3 linked regions of the Elephas maximus indicus genome follow. The protein of the gene in region 2 interacts with the protein of the main gene of each other region in a biochemical or structural test. Links are inferred from orthologs where the notes say so. Each region holds a gene or a part of one and is shown on either strand. Other genes may lie near its edges.

Region 1 (7,810 bases), on a different chromosome or scaffold from region 2:
TTGGTGGGGCTACAAGCACCTTATTTGCATAGTCCCACCCAATCATTGTGTGGGAATCACAAGGATTATGGCTAGAAGGGCCATATTAAGTAATTCACTGCACTGCAGAAGATTTATACAACAGTTTTTTTTTTTTATTTAGGTTCCCATTCAACAATTTCTACACAAATTGTTCAGTGACATTGGATCAAGTACTTCATAATGTGTGAACATTCTCATTATTTTCGTTCTGGTCGTTCAGCTTGTGCTAGCAAATATTCAAAGTACAGAAGTATTCAGACTGAACTTACAAGGAAGGGTTACCCTGGACTACTCTTGGCCAACACATGGTGTTTTAGTTTGTTTTTTTTTTTTAGTGCTGCTATAACAGAAATACCACAAGCGGATGGCTTTAACAAAGGAAAGTTTATTCTCTCACAGTCTAGTAGGCTTAAAGTCGGAATTCAGGGCCCCAGCACTAGGGGAAGGCTTTCTTTCTCTGTCAGCTCTGGAGGAAGGTCCTTGGGATGCATCAGTTTTCCTTTGGTCTGGGACCATCTCAGTGCAGGAACCTCAGGTCCAAAGGGAGGAACCTCGGGTCCGAAGGACATGCTCTGTTCCCTGCACTGCTTTCTTGGTGGTTATGAGGTCCCCCACTCTCTGCTTGCTTCCTTTTCATTTTATTTCTTGAGAGAAAAAAGGCGGTGCAGGCCACATCCCAGGGAAACTCCCCTTACGTTGGATCAGGGATGTAACTTGGGTAAGGGTGGTGTTAGAATCCCACCCTAATCCTCTTTAACATAAAATTACAATCATGAAATACAGGACAACCACAGAATACTGGGAATCATTGGGGGACATAATTCAATCCATGACATGTGGGACAGAAGGAGACATGGTGTTCGTTCTCAGAAGATATGTACCTAGAATGTTCCAGTGTGGTGCACTGGGTTGTTTTATATGGCCTTTTGGAAACCCTGGTTGCATAGTGGTTAAGTGCTACAGCTGTTGACCAAAAGGTGGGCAGTTTGAATTCACCAGGCGCTCCTTGGAAACTCTATGGGGCAGTTCTACTCCGTCCTATAGGTTTGCTATGAGTCAAAATCAAATTAATGGCAACAGGTTTTTTTTTTTTTTTTTCTCACCATGGTCTTGTAACTCGCACCAATAGACTAGTGGGACTATGCAAATGAGGTGCTTGTGGCCCACTATGGGGATTGGGTAGCTTGCTAATAATGTAAATAAGGTGCATGGCACTCTTAGGATGGGATGATGCAAAGAAGATGTATGGAACCCTAATGAGGGGATTGGTCAGTTTTGCCATCCTGTTAGGCTTAAAAGAGAGCCAATTCCTGAGCAGAGCAGGGACTTGACTACCACCAAGGAGAGATGGGTGTGGAGCACATCCTTTGGACCCAGGATCTCTGTGGTGAGACCCTCTTAGACCCAGGAGACAGAGAGAGCAGTGCAGAGAAATGGCGGCAGCAAAGGCAGCAGATGCAGGAGACTAGCAGGAGACAGACTGCTGTGTGTGCCAACTCAGTGAATGAGAAAGCTGAGCACCTTCTGGCAGGAGGCTTGCTGGTGGAATGGGGTGCCTCTGGGCACTTACTGGCAGAGCTAAAATAGCTTTGTAACACTTGCCCGAGCAGGGCAGAGCACAGGCTGAGGGGCCATGGGGCAGAGAGGCCAAGGGCCAGAGATAGACATGCCTGCAGGTACAGCGGTAAAAAAGCTGTCCTGACGGAAGAACTGTATCGTGAGTTGTTTCTGATCCTGAATTGTAACCTGTTACTTCCCTAATACACCGCTTACTCATGAGTATTGGCTGTGAGTTCTGTGTGGCTGTTGCAAGGAGTTATCGGACCTAGCAGAGGAGTAGAGGGTGCTGTGGGAGAGATGGTTGGTATCAGAACTGGTAAAAAGGTTGGGGGGTGGAAGCATGAAGGCTTCCTCCTCAAAGGAAACAGCCTTGGGCTGTTGATCTTGATTCTCCTTCCCCCTCCTGAAGTTAGAGGAGGTCAAACACCACCCCCACACCATTTTTACATCCAGGAAGCATGTGACAAAACTGTTCTAGAAAATTGCTTGTACAGACCGTTCTTAGAAAATGTATGTTAGAAAATTAACTGCTATGTGGAAAAAATTGTTCTGCAAGATATTTACGGTTTTAGCCATGTTGAACTTTAAGTATAAAAACTCCATCTTTTGTTCTGCTCAAAGGAGCACCTTGCACTTTCACCTTGAGCTGCCCAACTTGAGTTGCTTTATTCCTCAGTAAAACTTATTGTCTCTTACTCTAATAGAGTATAAGAATTTCTTCTTTCATAAGCTCCATTCCCACATCCTCTACCATCAATCTTTTTGAAGAGTCTCTAGGTGGTGCAAATGGTTAATGTGGTTAACATGCTCAGTTGCTAACAGAAAGGTTAGAGATTCAAGTCCACCCAGAGGTGCCTCAGAAGAAAGGTCTGGCTAATTACTTCTGAGAAACCATCCATTGAAAATCCTATGGAGCACAGTTCTACCCTAACACACATGAGTTTCCATGAGTTGGAACTGACTCCAGGCCAACTGGTATTTTGATCGCCCTTCCCTCCCCAGTGTCTGGTGGTGCAGTGGTTAAGTCGATTGACTGCTAACCAAAAGGTCCGTTGGAAACCACCAGAGGCTTCGTCGGAGAAAGATGTGGTAGTTAGCTTCTGTAAATATTTACAGCTTTGGAAATTCTATGGGGTCACTCTGAGTTGGAATCTACTCCATGGCAGTGGGTTTGGTTCTTTCCTCAGTGTTTGCCCCAGGGCTCAGGTTAGGGCATGGGTCACCCCTTCACCCCTGTGATTTTGCGGTCCAACACGCTCAGTGAATATATCTAAAGGATCCCCCACCTCACCCTGTGCGCCGCCAGCCATTCACATTCGTTCCGAATTATCAGAGGTGGCTGGGAGGAGGTGAGAAGGGGCCGGTCAGTGGGGCGTGGCCTTCACCGCACCGGGTGGAGCCGGGCAGCCTGCGGAGGGGGCGTGGCGGGCGATGACGCAGCGCAGAGGCGGGAGCAGGGCGGGGCCCGAATTTGGGGGGCCGGGCGCTGGGGCTGGAACAAAGGCAGGGGCGGGAACAAAGCTCTGCGGACCCCGAGCCCCGGAGAGGAACAAAAGGCAACCTTGGGCCAGCGGCCAGTCGCCCCTCCGCCACCGCCACGTGCGCCCGCACGGCTTGGGGAATGGAGGGTAGATGGCGCCCCCCACCCCGCCCCAAGACTGTCCGGCCCCCGCCTTAAAGTGTGCGCACTCTGGGGCTCCGGCCTGGGCTCGCTGACCCTGCTGGCCTACCCCATCCTCCAGGAAGCCTCCCTCCCCCAACCTGCCGTCGCATTTCAGACGCGAGGCCTCAGGACCCGAGGGTACAGAGGCAGGCCTTGTCATGCGCGCTGCGGTCACTGCGCAGGGGGCCAGGGCCCACTCCTAGCGCCATGTCCATCCCTCGTGTTTCTTGCGCCACTCTCTTCAGACAGGATTTCCCCTACGCCCCCAAGGCCGTGCGCTCCGTTTAGCACTCCCTCCTTAGCATTTTAGGATTCCCCTTCCCACAGGATCTGCCTCTCCCTCAGGCAGAATTCCACCCAGACAAACCCTGCTTCCATTCTCAGACAGCCTTTCTCCCCCCTCCCTGCCCCGACAGGATTTCCCACCACACACACCCGTTTCCACCCTCAGACAGAATTACACATACAGACCCTATTCCCTCCTCAGAGGATTACCCTCCCACCCACACACACTCAGAGTCTCTGTATCTACTGTCAAGATTCTCCCCTCACAGAGACTCTTTCCCCTCTCAGACAGGATTCTCCCCACCCAGATTCTGCTCCCCCTTCAGACAGGATACCCCGCACACACAGGCCCAGCTTCCCTTTTCAGACAAGATTTCCCCCACTGTTGAGGGTCGGGATGTCCGTCCCCCTAGAGGACAAATGGCAAAGCATCAAAGTCAGGAGAGAGGCTGGCTAGGAGATGGGGAAGGAGCGCCAGTGGAGGGCCGGGTGGGATTTCACGGACTCGCTGCTCCGTAACCCCTTGAGTTCTACATTTAATTTAAGTAGCTTTCTGTGTTTCTCATATTTATAGCAGAAAGGTTAAAGCCCCGAAGTGGCTCGCCCCTTTAGGAGCTGCCTCCTCCTCCGATGGAGCCCCGCCCACAGGCCCGGGCCCTTCCAGGAGCTATTGGTGACGCAGCGGCTTGGCGATATCTCTCGCCGGCCGAAAGGTGGGGTAAAATGGGGGGGGGGGGGTCCCGGGCTGCCCACGCACGTGCGCAGTACAGCGGGTAGCCTCGGTGCGGTCTGGAGGTGGGTCTGGAGGGGCGGGTAGCACGCGCAAGAATCGGTGCTTTCGCCCCGCCTGCCGCCGAAACTGCGGCGGTGACGTCTTGCGCCCCGCCCATGCCGCTCGAGTCGCGCCGAGGGGATGGTTGGTGGGGGGTGAGAGGGGCGCTTGCGTACTAGCAACCTCGCAGTCGGCGGCAGGCTCAGACCCCGCCCCCGGGCCGCAAGGTGCCCAGCGCGCGTGCGCGGAGGCGTCGGCGCCAGTTATTTCTGTCCCGCCCCCCAGCCGCGGCTCTTTCTGCGAGCAGGCGCGCGGGCGAGCGGTCGTGTGCGTGGAGCTGGGCTCGAGGGCGGTGTCGGCGGCTGTGCACGCGGCGGGCCGGCGGGGAGCGAGCAGGCAGCGGCCGGCCGGGCCTCGGCAGCGCCCCGCGCGCGGCGGGCAGCGGCCCAGTCGGTGCGCAGCAGCGCTCGGCCTCGCGGCGGCGGCGGCGGCCCAAGCAGCGGCGCGGCCGTTGGCGGCGAGCCTGTCTGCGCCTGCGCGGCAGGCCCCGTGCCCCTCCTCCCCCCTGGGCGCCCCCGGCGGTGTGTGAATGGCGGCCTCGGCAGCGGCGGCGGCGGCGGCGGCCTCGGCTGCGTCGGGTAGCCCCGGCCCAGGCGAGGGCTCGGCGGGTGGCGAGAAGCGGTCCGCCGCCTCATCGGCTGCAGGCTCGGCTTCGGCCTCGGCGTCGTCGCCCGGTTCGGGCGGTGGCGAGGCGCTGGAGCTGCTGGAGCATTGCGGCCTGTGTCGAGAGCGCCTGCGGCCCGAGCGGGAGCCGCGCCTGCTCCCCTGCCTGCACTCGGCCTGCAACGCCTGCCTCGGGCCTGCCGCACCCGCCGCGTCCAATAGCTCAGGAGACGGCGGCGCGGCGGGGGACAGCGCGGGTGAGTTCGCGGAGGACGGCCCCGGGCGCCGGAAGCGCTGCTGGAGGGGAGAGGTGGGGTCGGGGGTGGAAGCCTGCCTGGGGTGGGAATGGGGTCTGGACGCTGATATGGGGGCTTGCACGGGGGCTGCGTAGCGATGTGGGATTATCCGAGGTAGAGGATGGGCTTCCTGGTTGGGTGTGGGTACCCGGTTTCAGAGTCTATTGTGAGAATGGGACCGCCCAGACACGGTGTTTTTCTCACCTTTTGCAGTGGTGGATTGTCCCGTGTGCAAGCAGCAGTGCTTCTACAAAGATATCGTGGAAAACTATTTTATGCGCGACAGTGGTAGCAAGGCTGCCACCGATTCCCAGGATGCTAATCAGGTGTGTGTCTTGTTCTCGTCACTTCCAGGAGGCCTGTGGCTTTGGGTAGGCCCCGAGAGGAGGGGTCACCAGGCCAGGAGGAACATAACAGCAACACCAGGTGTTATTCTCCACCCCGCTTTTTGCTCTGGGCAGGCTGCCTTGGCTTGAGAAAGGGTTGCACGTTGTCTCAGGTAGTGCTTTGTTAGACAGGGAATCATTAGGTGGTCCCACTCCTTCTGATTCTGTCTTTGCCTAGCAGTGCTGCACCAGCTGTGAGGATAATGCACCCGCCACCAGCTACTGCGTGGAATGCTCCGAACCGCTTTGTGAGACATGTGTGGAGGCACACCAGCGGGTGAAGTACACCAAGGACCACACTGTGCGATCCACTGGTATATGGGGCAGATGGGGTGGCAGGAACATTCCTGGGTCTCTAGAGAGGGACGTGCAGAGGAGGCAAGTGTTTTAAATCTTCAGCTGCTGGTCACATCTCATGGCTGATTCCCTACGTGTTTCTTTAGGGGCTAGTTTCTGAAGGGTCCCAGGGCTAAGACTGCTTGAAAGCAGGAAGGTGGGGCTCTGGTGTGCAAGTTCCAGGGGTCCTGGTGGTAGGGAAAAGATCTTGGAGGATCACAGTGGACGTCAGTGAGCTTCATGGCATGAGGGAGTTGGTGGTCCGGGTGATGCTCATCATAGAGGCCTCCAGGCAGGGAGGAAGTGTGCTGTCGGAATAGGGCCTTCCAGGTGGAGGGAACAGCTTGCATAGTTGGGGAAAGGTGTGGTGTTTAATGAGGGATGTGAAGGGTCACTGTCTTGGGGTTCCCTGGCACCCTGGCTCGAAGCTTTATGTGGAAAGTGAGTCTTTGGGGCCAGGGCACATTGTTGAGCTGTGAGCGCCCATGAACTGTCAGTGACGGTGTGTCCCAGAGGCACTTCAGCTGCGTTCTGCCCAGGGTTCAACTAGATATTTACAGATTTTTTTGTGCACTGGTTCCTATGTGAAAAGGGGCTCGGGAATCTATTGTAGCTGGTTTTTATCCCCAAATTCCTCATGAGATGGGTTTTCAGGAGGTATCTTGTGATTCGTCATAGCTTAGCGGACAGCATCTGTGGGAAGATGAGAATGGAGGTGGCTGAGGGATGGACAGGGCTTTGCTGCGGGACCTGGGTCTGGTTGGAGATGTTGGTACAGTGAGGGGTCTAGGACCAGGTGGCCTATGCCTTGTGCTTTAGATTTGACAGGTGCAGCCAGGTTGTGATTGGCATTGGAAAAAAGGAAAGGGAGCATGTATAAGCAGCTCTCAGGGGAGGGGGCTGGGTTCATCTTTGTTCCTTGGGTGGCTTTACTCTGAGCACTGGGAATTTCTCCCAGAATGGCCTGATGCTGTCTGCGGGGTCCCAGTCCAACATCTTGTTTTTCCTGGATTCAGGTAAGCAGCTGTTAGGGTTCCTTTGGCCCATGGCTGGTAGGTTGCTTGTGATCTTAGAGAGCATGGTTTCTAAGGAAATTGTTCATGAATGAGCTCAGGCTTCTTTAGGCCCCCAGTTCACTTTTAATCCTGCACTTGGGGTGATAGCTCAGTGGTCAGAATCCCATTCTGTGGTGAAAGGATATTTGTTGTGGATGACATTGTTAGTAGGTGGGTTGGAGGAGTTTTTGGAGTCTGTCTGCCTAGGTAGGACGTATCCACGGAGGAAATGGCACAGGGAGGTGTCTTCTGGTAGAAGCCGTGTTGTTTGTTAGTGTCGTCCAGTTGGTTTCTTCTTACAGTGATTATTTGTGATGGGGTAGAACTGCCTCATGGGTTTTTGTAGGATGTAATCTTTATAGGAGCAGATCACCAGGTTTTATTCCTATGGAGTTGCTGGGTGGGTTTGAACTGCCAATTTTTCAGTCATGTTATTGGGTCTACCTCTGTTTATTCTGTGTTGTCAGCCCTACAAGTGGGAGGGCTTATAAAGATTTTGCTGGTCAGGTTGGGTTAGAGGGTGCTGGAAGCAAGATCAGGTTGCAGAGCTGCAGTCCCTGCCCCCACACTGCCATGTGCCCAGACTCCAAACCTGGCCAGAGGCTGCTCTGCGTGGCTCCGGAGGTGGGGGTGGCCCAGGCCAGGGTTCCCTGTGTCTGCCTCACTGTGTTCACTCCACAGGGCCGGCTAAGACGCGGGATGGCGAGCGCACTGTGTACTGCAGCGTACACAAGCACGAGCCCCTTGTGCTGTTTTGCGAGAGCTGTGACACC
Region 2 (7,520 bases):
TTAATCTAAACATATTAAGACTCAAGACTACAATCCAATAGCAAGTTGTTTCCCACAAATTTTGCTATTCTGAATATTAACTTAATATCCATCCACAATTTTACTGCAATTATATTAACTATGTTGCAATGCTCAGCTACATTAGGGTTACTGGGTTCATTTGCAATTATAAAAAAAATTAAGTCAAAACACGAAAAGGTGCTTACTTACCTGGCAGTCATTAAAACCTCCTGCCACTGCCATAGCTACTGCTGCTGCTTGAACCGCCATAGCCACCTAAAAATGAAATTTAAGCTCTAATTTTCTCTCATTTGAGACAATGATACATACGGTAAATCACAAGTTCAAGAGAACATTTAAAAATGGCCCTTGCCTAACTTTGCAAGGGAAGTGCTCCCTTTACCAGTGTACTAACTATAGCTACAATTAGCCAATATTACACATACACAATACCTTGGTTTCGTGGTTTGGCAAAGTATTGACCTCCACCACCATAAGGGCCAGAGCTTCTGCCTCCAAAGTTTCCACCCTTCATGGGTCCAAAATTTGAAGACTGATTGTTGTAACTGCCAAAATCATTGTAGCTTCCGCCACCTCCAAAATTGCTTCCTAGGAAGGGAAAGAGGGCCTTTGTCTGTTACTTGGAGGAAGATCACAGTTCCCAGTTCTGTTAGTGTTTACAAGTGAAAAAGGCTGTTTTGACATTTGCTTGCCTTCCTCCCAAAGGGTGGCTCCACCCAAAAGGTGGCTCCAGTAATTGGTAATTCTTCCATTTCCATCTTGTCTAGGCAAAGCATTATGTCGAACAATCCAGCAGCTTGATTATCAACCCAAATCGCCGTAAGATTGAGTGTCAAAAGTTTTAAAGCACAAATTTTAAGAACTTTGTTTCTAGCCTTGAAGGCTTTCTTTTTTTTTTCTTTTCACCTAGGACCACTGCAGACAAGTTTCTTGGATATATCAACTAAGTGCCTAAGATCCCAACAGAATAGTTAAGATGCTAAATCCTGCAACGGAGGCTAATCTAACCCCAAATGAAGACACCACTATCCACTTACTCATCTTTTTGGGAGTGAGGCGGCCCCAGCTTGAAGCTAGGAGGTAGCACAGCAAGTCCATTTACTTTTGAATACCATGCACTGTAACACATAATGCTTCTAAGAGCATCAAGCCCCAAAATAATGGGCAAACTAAGGCTAGTCTAAGCTATCACACCAAAGACTTGGATCACTGGATACCTACCACTACCACCGCCAAAGCCGCCTCCGCCTCCTCCGTTGTTATAGCTGCCACTCCCGCCATAGCCACTGCCCTGGTTTCCATAACCCTGTCCACCACTTCCATAGCCTCTGCTTCCTCCAGAGTAACCAGGACCGCCTCCTCCTCCATAACCACCTACAAGAATACAATTCTTCTCAATAAGACAAAAGTATTCAATGATCAGTATCTGTGCAAGCGCAATGGCTAAAGCCTGCTCACAGCATGCATATTATGGTGAGAATTGAGCTTCCCATGCACTAATTTTAGTCTCTACTAATCTACTCTAAGGATAACGGAAGACTGCCTGCATGTTCCTTATACATATAAAAAACCCACAAATGAACCAAAAAACCATACTCACCGTCATTACCAAATCCGTTATAACCGTCCCCACTGCCTCCATATCCACCACCACCACGGCTGCCACCAAAGCCACCTGAAAAAAGTTAAATTTTAAACGGCAGCCTTTGTTTTGTAAAACAAATCGCCAATCAGTGATTTCACTCATTACCCAGAAGAACTTTTAAAAATAAAACGGGTCTAGTGGTTAAGCACTTTGCAGCAGCAGTTGGAATCCACCAGCCTGCTTTTGTGAAACATTTAGTCTCGGAAACCCCACGGGGCATCTCTACTGACCCATAGGCGTTAGAAGAATAGTACTGAACTTGATAGCAGTAGCTCTTTAGTTACATATTATCATAGATTGCAAAATGGGTGTTAACCTGGGGTAACTAAACTACAAGTTTACTGGAAACTACAATCACACATACCACGCCCACTGAAGTTTCCTCCACGACCAAAGTTGTCATTCCCACCAAAACCACCTCCACGGCCGCCACCAAAGTTTCCAGAACCACTTCGACCTTAAGAAATTAATCATGTCAGACCATACAAACTGGATTACTCACTATTACCCTTAAGGTTTAACTGAGCAACAAACACACCTCTTTGGCTGGATGAAGCACTGGCCATCTCTTGCTTTGACAGGGCTTTCCTTACTTCACAGTTGTGTCCATTCACAGTATGGTATTTCTGAACTAAAAAATGAAAACAAAACCTTAAGGTTCCAAATACCAGGTGAATTTTAGAATCCTTAGTAAGCTCCAGTCATCTAATACTTACTGACAATCTTATCTACGGAGTCATGGTCATCGAAAGTAACAAAAGCAAAGCCCCTCTTCTTGCCACTGCCTCGGTCCGTCATGATTTCAATCACTTCAATTTTCCCATACTGCTCAAAATAATCTCTTAGATGATGTTCTTCAGTGTCTTCTTTAATGCCACCAACAAAGATCTTTTTCACAGTTAAGTGGGCACCTGGTCTTTGAGAGTCCTTAATAGGAAAAACACCACTTAATTATTTAGCAAAAGCTACCCCCAAATTGAGAACATGAAATTAAAAACTAAAACCCACTTAGTGGCACATTTCCAAATAGCTAAAAGAGAAAACTTACTTCTCGTGAGACAGCCCTCTTTGGTTCCACAACTCTTCCGTCTACTTTGTGTGGCCTTGCATTCATGGCTGCATCCACCTCCTCCACAGTAGAATAAGTAACAAACCCAAAGCCTCTGGAGCGCTTGGTGTTTGGATCTCTCATTACCTGAAAAATTTAATTCACTTAGCACATGCTAAGATCCCAGAAGCTATCATCACTCCTACGTTAAGCAAGAAAACGGAAAACTTTATAGTAGGGTAACTACAAAGCCCTCTAAGTTCTCAGTACTGCTTGTGGGGAGTCGAGACCCTATAAGAACACCTGAAGAATCAAACCATTAACAAAATCATACCTTCCAAACTACAATCCTATCAACAATCTTTACATTCAAACACGAACTACGGAAATAACAAGCCAAGGCGGTCTTACTACTACCCTTTTGTCTTACCACACAGTCCGTGAGCGTCCCCCATTGCTCAAAATGGCTCCTCAAACTCTCATCCGTTGTTTCAAAGCTCAAACCTCCGATGAAGAGTTTCCGCAGCTGTTCGGGCTCCTTAGGAGACTAATGGTGGAAAACAGGTGTTAAGTTAGGCTATAAAACGATACTCAGTTTCCCGTTCAGACACATAAAACTAGGCAACAACGTACATAGCATTTATTGTTCCTTCTGGCTGCTCCAAGCCACGTGCTTCTCCCTATCAGGGGTGGCGCTGTGTTGAGTCTGCAATATCCGCGAGAGCTCAAGCTCAAGCGCATGCGCCCCTACGCGCTTTAAAACGCACGCGCAACAATAGGACTTGGCGGGAGGAGTATGTCGCCAACCTAATACTAGAAACTTTAAAAAAACAAACAAACAAACAAACTTGCCCATGCAATCAAGGGAAAAAACAGATCAATCGTGACGTAGAGTTCTGCCGGACTTAACCAGAGCCTGGCCTGATAACGAATGGTTGCCGGATGGCGGCCTCATGGCGACGACGAGGACAAAATGGCGACTCCAACTTTGGGAGGGGTAAGCCCTGGCAGCGGCCGAAGGAACTGCCGCATGGGCTAATTCGAGCGATGAAACGAAGCCGAAATCTACGGAACTCACGAAGGGAAGAGGAACAAAATGAAGTTGATAAGGGTAGCTTACCTCTGACTTAGACATGACGGTAGTAAGAAGAGGTTACTTAACGATGTTCCCTCGGCGGCGTCCACAAGCAGAAAGGAGTAACCTACCGCACGTATCTGCCAGCCTACCTACGGCCTCTCTTTTTTATCCCGCCTCCTCGCTGTCGGCATTGGTAGACACCGCCCCTTCTTAGTTCTGATTGGACATTTGAAATAGCTTCCTCCTACTATTGGTCTATGGTGCCGCACTGCTATGAAACGTCATCCGTTTGGGCGGTCTACGCAGTGTCCACCCCTTGTAGTTCATTGGTTACTGAGTCGTGATGTCTTAACTAGTCTGATTGGCTAGCGGACCTATCATTCATATTTGAAGGTACTTAAGCGTATTTAAACTTTTGGACGCTCCACTCTTCAAATATTACATTCAATTCCTTTTCAAAGCACGCTTACTTTTGTGCGTTAGATAAGAATTTAGACTGTTACAAAATCTTTCGGGTGGGAGGGGTGAAGACTACCTACACAGCGCATGTTAAAAAAAAAAAAAAATACGGTGAGTTTACGCAGGCGCACTAAGAAGTTCCAGCTGCCACTTGGAACATGTGAAATGGCGGTGGGAGAGGCGGTGAACCTACGGCGCCTGCGTACTGGCGGGAGATGCGCAGGCGTAATGGGCGGAGAAAGGGTCCGGTCTCAGGATTGGTCGCGCAGGCGCAGGGAAAGATCCGTTTTGGCGGGCGGCTGGCGTTGCGCAGAAGGCGGCGGCAGCGGTGGCTTGTGGTCCGGCCTCGCCACAGAGGAACAGGAAAGACGTTAGCCTGAGTGATCACTCTCGATCGCTGGTAAGTGCCAGACAATCTTGCCTACCCGTACGAGGTCTTAAATGGATTTCAGCTGGGCCCGTTATTGTGTGAAATGAATGGACCGCGAGGTGGGGGATAGCGGAGGGGGAGCGGCGATTTGGCCCAACCAATAGAAGAGTAGGGGGCGGGATGTTTTAATCTATGTGGCTTCGTCGGAGCTGTACAACCCAAGCGTGTGACTGGCGAGGTTATAGGCCAATTGGGTCTGCCTTCAGCCACCGACTGATAGGTCCTTGGGCCTTCGGAATGTGGGGGGCGGGTTTTCCCCTCCTGAGTAGCGGCTTACTGAACCAATGAGCACGAAGCGCGCGATAGGTTGGGCTCCATCCGAGAAGCGGGGATCGGACCCCAGTTGGGAATGCGGGAGTCGGGCGGTAAATGGATGGACCAAATCTGAAGCCAGTAGGCAAATCGTCCAATCAGCGCTCCAAGAGAAGGAGTCTTACATTTGGGGTTGTAAGGAGGGGAATTCAAAGCCTGTGACGGTGTGTGGGAGTGGATATTTTATCCACAATGACTTCTGTAACGGCGCCTTGAGCCTCCATCCCATACACCTCCCTGGTAGGAAAGCCTTGAATTTGGCATTTTTTCCCACATCGGTACATCCCACCATCCATCACACTAGGTTTTGTGGGAAGCAGGAGAGAAATTTTGATTTGGGCAACTAGCTTCTTTAGATGACTGTTAAAACGAACGGGAAACTTCTGTACGCTGTCCTGGACAGGCATCAGAGGAAAATCTAAATTATGCACGTTTCTATGGACAAATAGATTTGTCTGTAAATACACAGAAAAAGTTGTGGAAAGGTACACAGCAAAGTGTTACTTCCAGGGATATAGTGGGATGGAGGTGGGTTGGGTTGGTCAGTGGGCACTTAGATCTTAATTGTAATATTTAAATCTTTGGAGGGATAATTGTGATTAAGATTAAATGAAAAATAAAGGTAGCTCTTTTTGTGTTTCCAATTGTAATTCAGGTACTTCTCACCACTTCTTTCCTTCTTACACCTCTAAAGAGTCTTGTTTTTCCTTTAAGAACTAAGGTGAGTCTTTTTGTTTTTAGAGGTAAGCGCTCTGATTTTAGTTTTTTTTAATATATTTTATTGTTGTGAATATGTATAGCAAAACATACCCCGATTCCACAGTTTCTGCATGTACAATTTAGTGACATCGGTTACATTCCTCTAGTTGTGCAACTTGTTCTCACGCCCCTTCTTTGAGTTGTTCCTCTCTCAACATAAATTCACTGCATCCTAAGGTTTTTATCTAATCTTTTAAGTTGCTGTTGTCACTTTGATCCCATATAGGTGATTCTTAACAGGGCATAATGCTCAAGGCAGACCTTTATCTGAAGTGATTCTTGGTGTGAAAATAATAGGTAACTTTTTTTGAGGACTTAGTATGTGCTAAGCACTTTACAAGCTTTTTCTATGTCTCCGATGCCTATATTTTGGAAACCCTGCTGGCGTAGTGGTTAGAAGCTACAGCTGCTAACCAAAAAGTCAGCAGTTCAAATCCACTAGGCACTCCTTGGAAACTCTATGGGGTGGTTTTACTCTGTTCTATAGGATCACACTAGTTTTTTTTTTTTTTTTTTAATAGGATCACAGGATTGTTATGAGTCAGAATCGACTTGACAGCAAGGGGTTTGGTTAATGCCTATATCTTAGTCTCTGAGGAATTTTTGTCCCTATATCCTTTTTTTTCTTCCCACACTTTTAAAGATTTTTAGTCTCTCTTTGTTATTCCTTTGACGATGTCTGAATATGGAGAAGAAGGAAGCTGCTTAAGGAGGGTTATATTTAGGTGTTGGGGACAGGAAGACCCATACATCACCTGGATACCTCATTGCCTATTCATTATATTTTCTTCTAGTTTTTTTTTTTTTTTTTAAACAGGACCCATCTATGAAGCAATGTTTATTCCAGGATGTTTTGGAAAAATATATAAATTTTCATTACATATTGGCTGTATCAGACTCTTTACTGCTTTATTATTCACTGATTTATTTAAGTCGAGAGAAAAATACTAGGTAGTGTATGGTGATAAACTTGACTGCATATGAGGTACACTTTAGATACTTTTCCTACTTACTGCTCCCCCAAAATGAAAAATTATTTTCCTTGAACTCATAATGAACAGAGATTTCACATTCTCTGGCACTTGCAAAACAACAAAGTTATAATTCTATCTGTAGATATGGTACGATGCAGTTGCTTAGCTTGTAAGAACTGAAGTGAGCTGAGTTTAGGGTGTTTGTCCCCAATTTATTTAGGTTTAGAAAGAGTACAATCTTGACCTAAAACAGGGTTTCTCAACCTTAGCACTATTGACATTTTGATCTGGATGATTCTTTATTGTGGGGGGGCTGTCCTGCGCGTGCCCTGGTAACGCAGTGGTTACGAGCTCAGCTGCCAACCAAGAGGTTGGCGGTTCAAACCCACCAGCCGCTTCATGGCAGTCTGTTTCTTCAAAGGTTACAGCCTTGGAAACCGTGTGGGCAATTCTAGTCTGTCCTATTGGGTCATAATGACTCAATGCCAACAGGTTTGTTGTTGTGTGTTTTTTTTCCGACCTGTGTATTGTAGAATGTTCAGCAGCATCTTTGGCTTCTATCCACTAGATGCCAGTAGCAAGTCACCTATGCTCCTCCCCACCCCCAGTTCTGACCACCAAAATTTCTCCAGACCTTGCCAGATGTGATGGGGAGGGGGCAAAATCTCCACCAGTGTTGAAAACTGTTGTTCTAAAATGAGAGATGCTGGAGTTGATTATCTCTTCAAAATATTTTATTTTACCCACTCAAAATTAAAGAAGGGAGCAGATGAAGTGTTTAGGGAGTGGCTTAA
Region 3 (7,573 bases), on a different chromosome or scaffold from region 2:
CATTTCACTGTGGCACAGGGGAAAAGTGGCAAAGCCAGGACTCCAACCTGGGCAGTTGGCTTCAGAGCCCTTGGTGAAGAGATATCCCTGGACCTCAGCATCTTCAGTGGCAGAATTTTGTTCACCAGACATCCACTCAGCACACTTAGGCCCTTGCAGACTCCCCATATCAGATAAACTGCTAAGTACTGGGTAACACGGGAACCGCGGAAGTAATCTAGGCTTACCTCCTAACATTCTGAGGGTCCACAAGGAGTGGCAGAGGTATGCCTCTAATTTAGATGTTCACCTAAAGAAATCGTTACTGACAGGAAAAGTGTGGAGACCATTGCACTGCCCTATACCTGATGATGTATACCTGATGATGTCACTACCCTGATCAAAAATCTCCAAGAACCATCTCTCCTGAAGGGCTTGCAAACAAAATGATTTCAGGTGGCACGTGGAGGAACACTTAGGATTTTCATAATTATTGATTTAAAGGAAATGAGAGGGAAAATATATTACCAGCGGAGCCCTGGTGGCGCAGTGGTTAAGTGACATAGCTGCTAATGAAACGGTCGGCAATTCAAATCCACCAGCAGCTCCCTGGAAACTCAATGGGGCAGTTCTACTCTGTCCTACAGGGTAGCTATGGGTTGGAATTGACTTGGCAGCAAAGGGTTTGGTTTTTGTATATATAACCAGCACTTCAAACCTGGGGTTTCTGGGATATAGGATGGTTCTAGGTTCTATTTTTAGTGTTTTAAACACTTAATTTACCAAAAAAAAAAGTGAACAACATTAAGGCCAACAAATTCGAGTGCTACTGTATGTCAGGTGCTGCAGTGTTAAGGTGCTTCCCATGTTATCTCAGGCAATCCTCAAAGCACCCATTTGAGCTGGCCTCATCATCATACTTGTTTCACAAGTGGGGGGACCTATTGTTCAGTGCCTTACTCAAAACCAGCTAGGATTTCGAGGACTGGATGCAAATTCAGCAGGTCTGATTCCAGAACAAGCACTTCTCATCACCACCCCATACTGTCCACACATGGCATCCTACACCCCTATTCCAGGGGGTGCTGAGATTTGGGAAACACTGGCCTGGAAAGTCAAAAGACCAACAACAGCAGCTAACCCTTACCGCTTACAACCCACCCCCAGTCCTAAGCCAAGCACTTCACACACATATTCATTCAATTCCCCCAAAGACCCACTAGTTCACTTCAAAAATGTTCACGGGGGGGGCCTACTGTGTGCCAGGTCCAGGGTATACTGCACAGAACCAGGCAGACATGGCCCCTGTTCTGATGGGACTCGAGTAGGATGGACGTGTAACTACAAATTGGGATAACTGCTACAATGGAAAGGATCAACGTGATGTATCAGTGTGTAGCAGAAGGGAACAATGACCAGTCCGGGTGGTCAGGGAAGGTGTCCCTGAAGTGGCATCCCTGCCAGTCAAAACACAAGCCTGGACATCTTCCCTGATCTTGCATGAATGCCACCTCTTCCAATGCAAGCCTCCCTAATCTCTGGTTCCCCCAACTCCCCTGCACTTCCACTGTGTCCCCCTCACAGGGCACATGTGAATGACAGGCCACGGAGGGTTGATCCCTGCACACCCCATCCCACCCACTTTTGCTACATCTACTTATACCTGTTTCTCCTACAAAACTGGAGAGACTTCTTGAGGGCAGCCAAACCCAAAACATGGGGCACCCAGTAGAGATTCAACAAATATTTGTTGAGCAATGAAGAAGGAGATCAGACCATACAATAAGAATAGTGCTTCATACCTGCCAGGAACCATTTTACAGGCTTTCACCAGCCCCATCTGTGAAATTATCCCCATTTCACAAACAAGGAGCCTAAAAGGCCCAGAGAGGTTAAGCCCCTTGCCTAAGGTCACACAGCTAAATGACCAACAGCGCCAGGAATCAAACTTGAATCCAGTCTGTCAATTCAAACTGAAAGCTTGTTTCAAATTCCTGGGAAGCGCCTCTTAACACTTATATCCTTTCTACTCTCCCGAAAGATCACTCATAAAAAATTACAATTGGTATGTCTGAGATCAGCACGAAACACTTGCCTGAAAAGTCTACGTTTTAAATAACTGCCTTAATCTGGAAAATAAATTGGGAGAGTGGGCAAAGGATACAAAGCAAAAACAATGTTTCAACAGCAAATCTTTCCCTCCATCCTCTCCACCCCCCCCCCCCGCCCGCTTGCCGCCGACCTCTCCCCTCACTTCAGGGCAGTGTTTTGAAGTCACTACCTGCAAGAAATTGGGGGAGTTATTTACGTTTCCTTGAAAGTCTGGAATGACGTGCTATTTATAAAATTTTAGGTCGGTTTTCTGATTACCAAAAGGGCTGCTAACGCTCATGTCCAGGCGACAATGGGCACATGTGTGTTTTTTCATACTCAGCCCCAACCACAGCCTCGCCAAAAAGGCAACATTCAGGTCGGACCCGCTACAACGTAGCCAGAAAAGCCCCGACGCCTAGCTATTGTTGCAGCCTCCCCAGAGAACGCGACACCGGACGGACCCCCGGCCCGTCGAAGGGGAGGCGAGCTTTGTCCGACGACCCCGGCGAGAGCGCGCGCGGGGGGCGCGCGGCCTCCACGAGGCCCGGGCCCCCCTTCCCTGGGCCCGCCCGCCCGCGGATACTGTAGTCACCGCGGCCTCCCTACACTGTGGCCTTCCCCGCGCGCGCGGCGGCGGGCCCGGGCTTCTTGACCCTCGGGCGCCGCCGTACCCCGGCCCCGCTCCGGGCGCCGGCGGCCCCCTCCCCCCTCGGCGCCCCGGCTCCATTCAAACCGTCTTCCCAAGGCCCGCGCCGCATTCCCCTCGCAGCCCGCGTTCCTTACCCGAACTGCCGGCGGCGTTGCCTTCCCGGCGCCGCCCCCGCCCCTCCGCGCGGGGCCGGGGGCACAGTGGGCGTCTCGCCTCTCTTCACGAAACAAAGAAACAGCCGCCGCCGAGCGAAGGGAAGCCTTGAGCGCGCGCCCGCCTCGGCCGCCCCCCCACCGCCCGCGCCCCCGCTGCGCGCGCGTGCGCGCCGACTTCCCTCCCCCCACGGACGGCCTCTTGAGTTCCGCTGGCGCCCGGCCTCGTGCGCGCGCTCGCCGGCCCTTCCACCCCTCGCGCGCGTGCGCGCCCGCGCGAGAGCAAGGGGAGGTGGGCGGGACCCAGAAGGAGCACGCGCGCGCGACGCACCTCCCAGCTCGGTCCGGAATGGCCCTGCGCCTGCGCATAGGCATCTTCCTCCTCCGCACGACGCGCGTCCACACGCCGCTGAGCATGCGCGGAGTGGGTGTCACTGCGGCGGCAGGTTGGGGGATGGGGCAGGGTGGTCGCGGGGTGTGCGGGCAGGGGCTGGCCGAGGGACCCTGAGGTTCGGATACGAACACTCGGAGCCGTGCATGAGGGCGAGAGACAGCCCAACAGGGGCCGGGGCTGCGCAGAGTCGTCCGCGGGCCAGTGACAGGCCTGGGAACCGCTTTCGTCCCTGGCCCGGGGCGGCGGGGCCTGTTCTGCGAGGCCAGACGGGCTCGGCTGTGATCGCCTTCTCTGCAACACCCACCGAGTACCATTAATTAATTAGTTCAGCAGATATTTATAGAGCTGCTACTGCGTCCCAGGCGCTGGTGCTGTAGTACCGAACAGACCTTTGAAATCCCAGCCGGTGTGGAGCTGAGGGTCTAGTGTGGGGGGCGAGGCAGACAAGAAAAAGATAAGTAAAATATGTTGTAGGACGGAGACATGCAGTGTCGTGGAAACTTTAAATAGGGCAAGCTGGGAAGGTCTCGCTGCGAAGACGACTTCTCACTAAACGTGACAGCAGTGAGGGACAGAGCTTGTTCCTACCAAAGGGACTGGCAAGTGGGAAGGCCTTAGGACTCCAGGGCTCTTATCTGTATTTTTAAAATACTTTCAGCGCCACCTCATTCGGCCCCTAACCGGACAAGAGCTCACCAAGGTCAAGTCCCACAACCTGTAGTACTCGGCCTGGGCTGCTCCTCCCACTGCTTCGCCCAGGCCTGCTCTTCCTCATTTTTTAGGTTTCAGCTGACTTTCAGCACTTCAGACCTGCCTTCTTTTTGATCACTGCCTACTTTTCCCTTCCTTCATATTTCATGGATAGTCTCTTTTATCATCTGTCTTCTGCATCTCAATTTAAATGGCAAAGATGTAACCAGTTGTAGTCACTAGCGAATACCCAACATCTAGCTTGGTGCTCTCCTCCCCAACATAATAGAAGAAAAAAAAAAAAAAACCCTGTTGCCGTGGGGTAGATTCCGAGTCATAGCAACCCTATAAGACAGAGCAGAACTGACCCATAGGGCTTCCGATAGTGGATTCAAACCGTGGATCTTTTGGTTAGCAGCTGACCTATTAACACTGCGCCACCAGGGCCCCATACCTCGACATAATAGACACTTTAAAAATTGTATTGAAAGAATAATAGAGACTGTCTCGAGTGTATTTGTGCCAGGTGTCGTACCTACATCAGCCCAAGGTGAGTGACTTGCAGTTTCTAGCAGAAGGTGAGATCTCATGCTGGAGTCCAAAAGACCTGGATTTAAAACCTGACTCCAGTATTATTAGCTGGGTGATACCAGGCAAGTTCCCTTGTCCCATCTACATAACAATTTCTTCACCTGGAAAATGGGAACAATAATGGCATCCACCTCACAGGCTGCTTATAGCAAGTAATGTTGAGTAATGCACAGAAAATGGACAAGTAGGTCTGAACCTCAGCCTCTCTCATTCAAGTAGTATTTGTTAAGTTCCCTCAACATGTCAAGCACTGAGCTGGTCACAGGCCTACAGTGACTTACCAAGGGTTCCTACCCACGGAGCACACAGTCCACATGTTAGTCAACTGTCTCCCATGCTGGTTACTAATATGTGATAGAAAAGAAAAGTCCCCAGGATGCAACGAGATCATAACGGGGTCTTCCTGGATTGAGGAGTCACAGAAACCTCTCTGAGGAAATGGTATTGATGCCAAGAAGGATGAGCAAGAGCAGGGAGAAGGAGGGCACTAGGTAGAGGAACAGGACCCTGAAAAGAATAAGAGCATGGGAACAGAAAAAGACCTCTGTGGCTGGAAGAAATGGTGATGGGGGGCAAGGGGGCGTGGTCAGCAGCAGTCATACCAGGCAGAGCATTGAGGGCTGAGGTGAGGATTCTTAACTTTTTCGGTAGCACAGAGGGAACCAGTTGAATGGCTTTAATCAGGAGAATCCCGTGACTGACTGCTGGGCAGAGATTAGGCTGGAGGAAAAGGAGAGGCAGTGAGAGTCCATTAAGGCTATTGGAGTGGCCCAGGTTGAGAGGATGGCAGCTTAAACTAGAGTGAAGATGGTTGAGATGGAGAGGGGTGGAGGAAATTGGAGGCAGAATGGATAAACCTTGAACGACTGGACCTGATGGGTGAAGGAGAAGGGGGGCTAAGAGTGAGACTTGGGCTTTCTGTGTAGCTGGGACAATGGAGACCTAGAAACCCTGGAAGGGAAGGCTCTAGAATCCTGTTTTGGTTTAGGGACAAGATGCCTATAGAAAACAATTCTATAGACCAGTGATTCTGGGCTATACCTTGGAGTCCCTGGGGGAACTTTAAACAAAGCTGATGCCTTTAGCTCTTATATTTAGGTCTGTAATCCCTTGCAAGTTAATGTTTATGTATGGTATGAGGTAAGGCCAGAAGTTCAATGTTTTCCATAGAGGTAGCCAACCATTCTAACGCCTAGTGTTCCCTACTGTCCTTTTCCCCCATTAAATTACCTTGTTACTTTTGTCAAAAAAAAAAATCACTTGACCATTTAAGTATGGGTCTGTTTCTGGACTATTTATTGATCTATATGTCGACCCTTAAGCCCACACCACGCTGTCTTCAATAATAAGTCTTGAAATGAGGTAGGGTAAGTTTTCCAGCTTTGTTCTTTTTTAAAAAAAAAATATTTTGACAAAGTCCTTTGCATTTCTACCATTTAGAATTTTAGAATCGGCTTGTCAATATCTACCCAAAAACCTGATGAGATTTGTATTAAGATTGCATTGAATCTGCAGGCCAATTTAGAGAGAATTACAGTTTTAACAATATTACGTCTTCCGATCAATGAACATGGTCTATCTCTCCATTTACTTAGGGCTTCTGTAATTTCCCTTAAACTTGCTCTAGTCAAGTCTTTCCTGCTCCACTGAAGTAACTCTTGTCAATGTCACAGGGACCTTCCCATTGCTGAATCCAGTGGTTAATTCTCATCTTCGCCTTCCTTTACCTCTCAGCAACACTTGACCCGTTCCTTCTTCCTTGGAACAACTTCCCCACTTAGTTTCCAGAACACCACACTCTCCTGGTTTTCTTCCCACCTCATTGTCGGCTCCTTCTCAGTCTCCTGTGCAGCTTCCTCCTTGTCACACTAAACTCTTAATAGTAAACTGCCCAAGAATGCAGATCTTGGTCCTCTATCTACATTCACCCCCTTGGCTTCCAGGCATGTGACTTTACAAAACCACCTACATGCCGATGTCTTCCAAGTGTGTACCTCCTGCCTTGACCTTTCCCTTACACTTCATAAAGCTATCTCCCAGACACCACTGCTTGGATGTTTAATAGGTGTTAAAATTTAGGTTCCATCATGTCTCTCTTTTGCTCAGAACCCTCCAGTGGCTTTCTTCTTCCCTAGAGTGAAAGACGAAGTTAGTCCTCACAGTGACATACAGACCCTTTGCTCCCTCCCTGATAAACGATTCCATTTATATAACATTCTTGAAATGACAACATTTAAAAATTGAGGACAGGTTAGTGGTTGCCAAGAGGGAAGTGGGTGTGGTTATAAAGAGCATGTCGTGGATTGAATTGTGTCCCCCAAAATTATCTGTCAACCTGGCTAGGTCCTGATTCCCAGTATTGTACGATAATCTACCATCGTCATCTGATGTGATTTCCCTATGTTTCGTAAATCCTATCACTATGACGTAAAGAGATGGATTAGTGGCAGTTATACTGAAGAGATCTACAAGAGTAGATAGTGTCTTAGGCTAATCTGTTTTCAGATATAAAAGAGAGAAGCAAGTAGAGAGACACGGGGACCTCATACTACCAAGAAAGCAGCCAGGAGCAGAGCGTGTCCTTTGGACCTGAGATTCCTGTGCTGAAATGCTCCCAGACCAAGGGAACACTGATGCATCACAAGGACCTTCCTCCAGAGCTGACAGGGAAAGAAAGCCTTCCCCTGGAGCCAGCGCCCTGAATTTGGACTTACAGCCTACCGGAGTGTGAGAGAATAAATTTCTGTTTGTTAAAGCCACCCACTTCTGGTATTTCTGTTATAGCAGCACTTACTGATGAAGATCAAAGACCACAGATTTCAGTATGGATTACACCTCAACATAAAAGAAAACAGAAATCATCACAACTGGACCAATAAGCAACATCATGATAAACGGAGAAAAGATTGAGGTTGTCAAGGATTTCGTTTTACTTGGATCCACAGTCAACGCCCATGGAAGCAGCAGTCAAGAAATCAAAAGACACATTGCATTGGGCATATCAGCTTCAAGAGATCTCTTTAA

The links.
Region 1: the proteins of CBX5 (region 2) and TRIM28 form a complex in vitro, tested with the Homo sapiens proteins (6 studies listed by BioGRID, with this or other methods). The link is inferred for Elephas maximus indicus from reciprocal best matches to the Homo sapiens genes CBX5 and TRIM28.
Region 3: the proteins of CBX5 (region 2) and SMARCA4 form a complex in vitro, tested with the Homo sapiens proteins (2 studies listed by BioGRID). The link is inferred for Elephas maximus indicus from reciprocal best matches to the Homo sapiens genes CBX5 and SMARCA4.

What each region holds. Positions count from the first base shown.
Region 1 is NC_064829.1:87,269,584-87,277,393, reverse strand, and holds the start of TRIM28 (transcription intermediary factor 1-beta), read left to right. Parts: upstream 1-4,801; 5' UTR 4,802-4,890; coding exon 4,891-5,221; intron 5,222-5,473; coding exon 5,474-5,586; intron 5,587-5,827; coding exon 5,828-5,960; intron 5,961-7,718; coding exon 7,719-7,810. UniProt on the Homo sapiens protein: Nuclear corepressor for KRAB domain-containing zinc finger proteins (KRAB-ZFPs).
Region 2 is NC_064822.1:109,774,554-109,782,073, reverse strand, and holds the start of CBX5 (chromobox protein homolog 5), read left to right. Parts: upstream 1-4,515; 5' UTR 4,516-4,651; intron 4,652-7,520. Other genes in the region: HNRNPA1 (heterogeneous nuclear ribonucleoprotein A1), read right to left, coding at 221-276, 454-609, 1,243-1,395, 1,622-1,696, 2,031-2,123, 2,205-2,297, 2,383-2,593, 2,715-2,861 and 2 more. UniProt on the Homo sapiens protein: Component of heterochromatin that recognizes and binds histone H3 tails methylated at 'Lys-9' (H3K9me), leading to epigenetic repression. In contrast, it is excluded from chromatin when 'Tyr-41' of histone H3 is phosphorylated (H3Y41ph).
Region 3 is NC_064821.1:28,999,660-29,007,232, reverse strand, and holds the start of SMARCA4 (transcription activator BRG1), read right to left. Parts: upstream 3,010-7,573; 5' UTR 2,857-3,009; intron 1-2,856. UniProt on the Homo sapiens protein: ATPase involved in transcriptional activation and repression of select genes by chromatin remodeling (alteration of DNA-nucleosome topology).